2 linked regions of the Macaca fascicularis genome follow. The main gene of each other region encodes a partner of the protein of the gene in region 2 in a complex. Links are inferred from orthologs where the notes say so. Each region holds a gene or a part of one and is shown on either strand. Other genes may lie near its edges.

The links. The genes of interacting proteins can lie anywhere in the genome.
Region 1: the proteins of MICALL1 (region 2) and EHD1 are in contact, whole or in part, in an NMR structure (PDB 2KSP), measured with the Homo sapiens proteins. The link is inferred for Macaca fascicularis from reciprocal best matches to the Homo sapiens genes MICALL1 and EHD1. Residues at the interface, in NP_203744.1 of Homo sapiens: Lys422, Tyr424, Asn425, Pro426, Phe427, Glu428, Glu429; in NP_001269373.1 of Homo sapiens: Gly464, Ala467, Lys468, Met471, Asn478, Leu481, Gly482, Trp485, Lys486, Lys492, Asp493, Gly494.

What each region holds. Positions count from the first base shown.
Region 1 is NC_088388.1:9,523,835-9,527,942, reverse strand, and holds part of EHD1 (EH domain-containing protein 1), read right to left. Parts: intron 963-4,108; coding exon 550-962; intron 1-549. UniProt on the Homo sapiens protein: ATP- and membrane-binding protein that controls membrane reorganization/tubulation upon ATP hydrolysis. In vitro causes vesiculation of endocytic membranes. Acts in early endocytic membrane fusion and membrane trafficking of recycling endosomes.
Region 2 is NC_088384.1:13,681,274-13,684,624, reverse strand, and holds part of MICALL1 (MICAL-like protein 1), read left to right. Parts: intron 1-1,356; coding exon 1,357-1,471; intron 1,472-2,029; coding exon 2,030-2,076; intron 2,077-3,351. UniProt on the Homo sapiens protein: Lipid-binding protein with higher affinity for phosphatidic acid, a lipid enriched in recycling endosome membranes. On endosome membranes, acts as a downstream effector of Rab proteins recruiting cytosolic proteins to regulate membrane tubulation.

The sequences.
Region 1 (4,108 bases), on a different chromosome or scaffold from region 2:
AATTAGCTGGGCATAGTGGTGTGTGCCTGTGATCCCAGCTACTCGGGAGGCTAAGGTAGGAGAATCATTCGAACCTGGGAGGTGCAGGTTGCTATGAGCTGAGATCATGCCACTGCACTCCAGCTTGGGCAACAGAGCCAGACTCCGCCTCAAAAACAAAAACAAAAAACCCTAGAGGGAAGCCAACAAGCCTCAGAGCTCTATCCCCCAACACCCCATTTCTGAGGCTGCCTCCTTTGCTTCAGCGGTAACTTCCTGTGTGCTGTTTCTGTGTTGTAAGCATAGTCAAACCCTTCTTGAAAGTAGATGGGGCATAAACCACACACACAACAGGTTTAGAGGGAGGCCGGGTGGAGAATCTTAGTTAAGAGCAGGCTGCACGCGGGTGCTGACCAAAGACTGGTTTCTGCAGAGGGAAACAGCGCAGCACAGGTCCGCCTGTGCAGTGAGCTGGGATGGGTCTCGGGCAATCCCGGGGCCCTGAGTGCCTATCTCAGAGCCCCACGGCCCTGCCTGGCAATAGGCTGCTCCCCTCACCCTGGGGTCTACCTTGGCCAGCCGTGCCCGCTTGATCAGGTCATTGAGCTTCCTGAGGGCGGCGTTTCGGGGCAGAGACTGGATGTCCTTGAAGAGGTCCTGCTCCTCAGCCTCAAAGAGCTTGCGGTTGTCAGGGATGAGGAGCGGGTGGGACCAGAAGGAGCCGATGTAGACCCTGACCACCTCGGGGGTGTTGATGATCTTGCCCAGGGACCACATGAGGGCCCCATACACCCGCATCAGCTGCTGTGTCTCGATCTGGTCTGCCTTGTTTAGCACCACGCGGATCTTGTCCTCATGGTTCTTCAGGGCCTTGATCACTTCTGAGAACTCATCGGAGATGTCCAGCTTGTGGGCGTCGAAGAGCAGGATGATGCGGTCCACACGCTCGGCGAACCACTCCAGGACGGCTGCAAAGTCATAGCCTGCGGGGAAGAGAAGGGAGAGCTCAGGGGTGCCAAGGGACCTGCTGCTCTGATGGCTCTCATCTCCAACCTGGCCTGGTATTTCTCAGCCAGAGATAGTTTTTAAAATTCCTACAGGCCGGGTGCAGTGGCTCACGCCTGTAATCCCAACACTTTGGGAGGCCAAGGTGGGAAGATCACAAGGTCATGAGTTTGAGACCAGCCTGGCCAACATAGCGAAACCCTGTCTCCACTAAAAATACATAAATTAGCCATGCCTGGTGGTACGAGCCTGTAGTCCTAGCCTACTTGGGAGGCTGAGGCAGGAGAATCACTTGAACCCAGGAGGAGGAAGTTGTGGTGAGCTGAGATCGCACCACTGCACTCCAGCCTGTGCAACAGAGCAAGACTCCATCTCTAAATAAAATAAAATAAAAGTCCTAGAAGGGGCCAGGCACAGTGGCTCAAGCCTGTAATCCCAGCATTTTGGGAGGCTGAGGTGGGTAGATCACCTGAGGCCAGGAGTTCGAGACCAGCCTGACCAACATGGTGAAGCCCCATCTCTACTGAGAATACAAAAATTAGCCAGGCGTGGTGGTGGGCACCTGTAATCCCAGCTACTTGGGAGGCTGAGAGAGGAGAATCGCTTGAACTCAGGAGTGCAGTGAGCCAAGACCATGCCACTGCACTCCAGCCTGGGCAAGAAGAGAGAAACTGTCACACAAAAAAAAAAAAAAAGAAAAAAAGGCCGGGCGCGGTGGCTCAAGCCTGTAATCCCAGCACTTTGGGAGGCCGAGATGGGCGGATCACGAGGTCAGGAGATCGAAACCATCCTGGCTAACACGGTGAAACCCCGTCTCTATTAAGAAATACAAAAAACTAGCCGGGCGAGGTGGCGGGCGCCTGTAGTCCCAGCTACTCGGGAGGCTGAGGCCGGAGAATGGTGTGAACCCGGGAGGCGGAGCTTGCAGTGAGCTGAGATCCGGCCACTGCACTCCAGCCTGGGCGACAAAGCCAGACTCCGTCTCAAAAAAAAAAAAAAAAAAAAAAAAAAAAGAAAAGAAAAGAAAAAAGAAAAGGCCAGGCACAGTGGCTCACACCTGTAATCCCAACACTTTGGAAGCCAAGGTGGGTGGATCACAAGGTCAGGAGTTCAAGACCAGCCTGGCCAACATAGTGAAATCCCATCTCTACTAAAAATATAAAAATTAGCCTGGCGTGGTGGTAGGCACCTGTAATCCCAGTTACTCGAGAGGCTGAGGCAGGAGAATTGCTTGAACCTGGGCGGCAGAGGCTGCAGTGAGCTGAGATCACGCCACTGCACTCCAGCCTGGGCGACAGTGCGAGGCTCCATCTCCAAAAAAAAAAAAAAAAAAAAGCTGGGCGTGGTGGCGCATGCCTGTAGTCCTAGCTACTCAGGAGGCTGAGGCAGGAGAATTGCTTGAACCTGGGAGGCAGAGGTTGCAGTGAGCCGAGATCACGCCACTGCACTCCAGCCTGTGTGACAGAGCGAGACTCTGTCTCAAAAAAAAAAAAAAAATTCCTAGAAGGTGCTCATCTAGACAGTACAGCACCCTGAGGGCAGGATTATCTCCCCTATTCCTGCCCCCACCATAACACTCCCAACCCATGTAGCACTTGGCATAAACAGGTGCTAATGCAAAAGTCGTCCCATAGTGCAAGCTCTTAAGGTGGGTCAGACGAGGGCGAGAGTGAGGAGACCCAGCACTGTGCTCAGCACAGCACAGATGGTAGAACATAGACTCCAGTGTTGCCACCTGCCAGCTGTGTGCCCTGGGAAGGCAGTGACAAGACGTGCCTGCAACAGTAACTGCAGCTGCTCCTTGTTCAGTGCTGATGTGCCAGGCTCCCCATTTTGCAGGAATCTCACTTATTTTCTGCAACAAGGGTTGGCAAACTACAGCTCAGGAATCAAACCTGGCCCACCACCTGTTTGTATAAATAAAGTTTTATTGAAACACAGCCATGCTCATTTGTATTATCCATGGCTTCTTTTGTCTAACACAGCAGAGTTCAGTCGTTATGATAGAAACTGCAAAGCTGTGAAAGGTCTGCAAAGCTGGAAGTATTAACTATCCGATCCTTACAGAAAAAGTTTGCTGACCTCTGCTCTACAAGAAGCCCAGGAAATGCCACAAACCACTTCCCTTCCTAGGTCTTAAATACTTCTCCAAAACAAAGTGGTTGGACTGGATAGACTCCAGCTTTAGGCTCTATATTCTTTTTTTAAAAAAATTATATTCTTTTTTTTAGAGACAGGGTCTTGCTCTGTCACCCAGGCTGGAGTGCAGTGGCACAATCCTGGCTCACTGAACCTTGAACTCCTGAGCTCAAGCCATCCTCCCACCTTAGACTCCTGAGTAGCTGAGACTACAGGCATGTGCCACCATGTCTGGCTAATTTTTAAATTTTTATTTTTGTAGGTATGTTCAGCATTATGTCTATGCTGAACTCCTGGGCTCTAAGAGATCCTCCTGACTTGGCCTCCCAAAGTGTTGGGATGACAGGCCTGAGCCACCATGTCTGGATTCTAAACTCTATTCTAGATTGCTTCCCACCAACCCATTATGGCCCAATTAAGGCCCGCCAATTAAAGCAAACTCTGTCGCCTGTGGCAGAGACTGCTAACTGAAATTCCTCCTAAAGGAAGGAACCAGAAATAACTATCTAGTTTCAGCTGGATTCATGGCCTCCCAGCTTGAGATTGCACTTCCCAGCTTCCTTCAGCAGAAATGAACAAGGAAAGGAGCATGAGCCCTTTGTTGTTTTCTCCCTCCTGAGGACTGGGACGCTGATGTGATGGGAGGAGCTGGAGGAAGCACCTTGGGTTCAGAGATGAAAGCTGCATGTTCAGAATGGCCTTGGACTGTTGTTTTTCACATAAACTATCGGCTATCTGACTTAAACCAATGATTTTTGGGTCTCTGTAACAGCGGTTTAATTTAAATCCTACATGACAACTAGGCCTCTTCAAAATATTTCCACTTTAGCCTGGGCAACACAGCAAAATCCCGACTCTGCAAAGGTGGTACCGGCCTGTAGTCCCAGCTACTTGGGAGGCGAAGACAGGAGGATAACCTGAGCCCAGGAGGTTGAGGCTGCAGTGAGCTGTGATCATGCCACTACATTCCAGCCTGGGTGACAGA
Region 2 (3,351 bases):
CGGCTAATTTTTTGTATTTTTAGTAGAGACAGGGTTTCATCGTGTTAGCCACGATGGTCTCGATCTCCTGACCACGTGATCTGCCTGCCTCAGCCTCCCAAGGTGCTGGGATTATAGGCGTGAGCCACTGCACCTGGCCTATTCGTTTTTTTGAGATGGAGTGTCACTGTGACACCCAGGCTGAAGTGCAATGGCGTGAACTCAGCTCACTGCAACCTCCGCCTCCCGGGTTCAAGTGATTCTCCTGCCTCAGCCTCCCCAGTAGCTGGGATTACAGGCGCCCACCACCACACCTGGCTAAGGATATTTATTTATTTATTTATTTATTTATTTATTTATTTTTGAGACAGAGTCTTGCTCTGTTGCTCAGGCTGGAGTGCAGTGGCATGATCTGAGCTCACTACAACCTCTACCTCCTGGGTTCAAGCAATTCTCCTGCCTCAGCCTCCCTAGTATCTGGGATTTCAGATGTGTACCACCACGCCTAGCTTATTTTTGTATTTTTAGTAGGATGAGGTTTCACCATTTGACCAGGCTGGTCTCGAGCTCCAGACCTCCGGTGATCCACTTGCCTCGGCCTCCCAAAGTGCTGGGATTACAGGCATGAGTCATCGGGCCCGGCCTAGGATATTTATTTGAAGGCAGGGAAGCCTGTGGCGGTAGATGTTGTGGAGGGAAGGCCAAGTATAGGCACTCATCCCTGGAGCCTGCAGGCTGGGGGAGGGGGAAATACTAGGGCTCTGGTGGGCCCCTCGGGGTGGTCCTGTGGGTTGGCTGGGGCCTTGAGAGGAGAGGAGGCTGGAGGGGCAGCAGGTGTGCCTGGCTTCAGGGGAGCCTTCTGCTGGGCTCCCTGCCCCCAGCATCCCCTCTAGTCTACCTTCCTCCACAGCCTTGGATAAATGTCCCAGTATGTCACTTGGGTCATGTTGCTTCTCCTGCTGGAGGAGCCTTGGGGTTCCCTGTTGTCTCCTGTCCCCTGCCCCACTCTGTCCCTCCTGAATCTTGCCTCCCGCCAGAAGCCACCTAGTGAACATTTGTTGAATGGATGAATGAACATAAGCTTGAGACTCTTGGTGCCGCCCTGTTCTTGCAGCATGTGCTCTGCTGGCCCTGCTGGGGCCTTTTGCAGACTCTTTGGTAGGCAGCCTGGTGCCCTTGGTCTCTTCTGTCAACAACCTTCTTTTCCCAAGAACTTGTAAGCCCCACCTATCGGGGCCCTTCCTTTCTGCGCTGTTAGTATCTAGCATGATATTTAGCACGGGGCTGGCCTGCAGCACTTAGGCAGTGGCTCCTGGCAGCCTGGGGAGGAAGAGGGCTTTCCTACACTCATGCCCCCTAAATTTTCTCCCTTGGCAGAAAAGGACTGGACGGAGGAGGACCGGGCCCGGGAGAAGGTGCTGATGCAGGAGCTTGTGACCCTCATTGAGCAGCGCAACGCTATCGTCAACTGCCTGGATGAGGACCGGCAGAGGTGACATGGCCAGGGGTGGGGGCTCCTGGGAGACAGGGCCAGAGCAGATCAGGCCCATGGCCCCATGGGTGGGGCAGCTCCCTGGAGAGCCAAAGACACAGTCCACACCTCGGGCCAGGCCAGCCCTGCCCTCCTACCAGCGATCCCAGTACACCCTTGCTCAGCCCTGTGTGGACAGAGAGGGCATCTGCTCCTTCCTCCTGTGGGACTCTCAGCTGCTGCCGTTTTAATTTTTTTTTTTTTTTTTTTTTTTTTTTGAGACAGCGTTTCGCTCTTATTGCCCAGGCTGGAGTGCAATGGCATAACCTTAGATCACTACAACCTCTGCCTCCCAGGTTCAAGCAAATCTCCTACTTCTGCCTCTCGAGTAGCTGGGATTACAGGCATGAGCCACTACATCCAGCTACTTTTTGTATTTTTAGTAGAGACAGGGTTTCACCATGTTGGCCAGGCTGATCTCGAACTCCTGACCTCAGATGATCCACCTTGGCTTCCCAAAGTGCTGGGATTACAGGCGTGAGCCACCGTGCCCAGCCTAACTGCTGCTGCTTATTTCAGGGAGGAAGAGGAAGACAAGATGTTGGAAGCCATGATCAAGAAGAAAGGTGAGGCCCTTGCTGGGGATGAGGCTGGTGCCCAGTTGAACTTCAGCATTGGGGGTGGAAGGGAGGGATTGGTTGAAGGGAGGATTGGAGTGGGCACTACCAGGATGGCTGTGCACAAACTCCGCAGCCTCTGTTTTGCGGAGAGGGCTGTGTGTAGCAAGAGAGGCCAGCCTACAGCCAGGAAGGCTGTGGCTTAGGCTTGGAGGGTAGCCGTGGGATGCCCTGATGCCCACAGAGACGACTGTGGATTTGTCCTCAGCTGTGCATTCCCCCTTGAGATCTGCAGCTGGTTTTGTTGGAGTCTGTGGGCCCAAACAGCAATGCTTCCTGGGGACCAAGTGGTGCTTGGAACAGTTAAAAGAGTACTGGACAGGAGATCGAGATCATCCTGGCTAACACAGTGAAACCCCATCTCTATTAAAAGTACAAGAAATTAGCCAGGCGTGGTGGCGGGCCTCTGTAGTCCCAGCTACTCGGGAGGCTGAGGCAGGAGAATGGCGTGAACCCAGGAGGCGGAGCTTGCAGTGAGCTGAGATCGTGCCACTGCACTCCAGTGTGGGTGACAGAGCAAGACTGCGTCTCAGAAAAAAAAAAAAAAAAAAAAAAAAGATAAATGGGGCCGGGCACAGTGGCTCATGCCTGTAATCCTAGCACTTTAGGAGGCTGAGGCGGGCTCATCGCCTGAGGTCAGAAGTTTGAGACCAGGCTGGCCCAACATGGTGAAACCCCATCTCTACTAAAAACACAAAAATTAGCTGGGTGTGGTGGCACACTTCTGTAGTCCCACCTACTTGGGAGGCTGAGGCAGGAGAATTTCTTGAACCAGGCGGCAGAGTTTGCAGTGAGCTGAGGCCGCACCATTGCACTCAAGCCTGGGCGACAGAGACTCTGTCTCAAAAAAAAAAAAAAAAAGGCTGGGCACGGTGGCTCAAGCTTGTAATCCGAGCACTTTGGGAGGCTGAGACGGGCGGATCATGAGGTCAGGAGATCGAGACCATCCTGGCTAACACGGTGAAACCCTGTCTCTACTAAAAAATACAAAAAAAAAAAAAACTAGCTGGGCGAGGTGGCGGGTGCCTATAGTCCCAGCTACTCGGGAGGCTGAGGCAGGAGAATGGCATAAACCCGGGAGGCAGAGCTTGCAGTGAGCTGAAATCTGGCCACTGCACTCCAGCCTGGGCGACAGGGCGAGACTCCGTCTCAAAAAAAAAAAGAAAAAGATAAAAAAAGAAAAAGATAAATGAATGCCATGCTTCAGAATTCCCAGATTCTAGG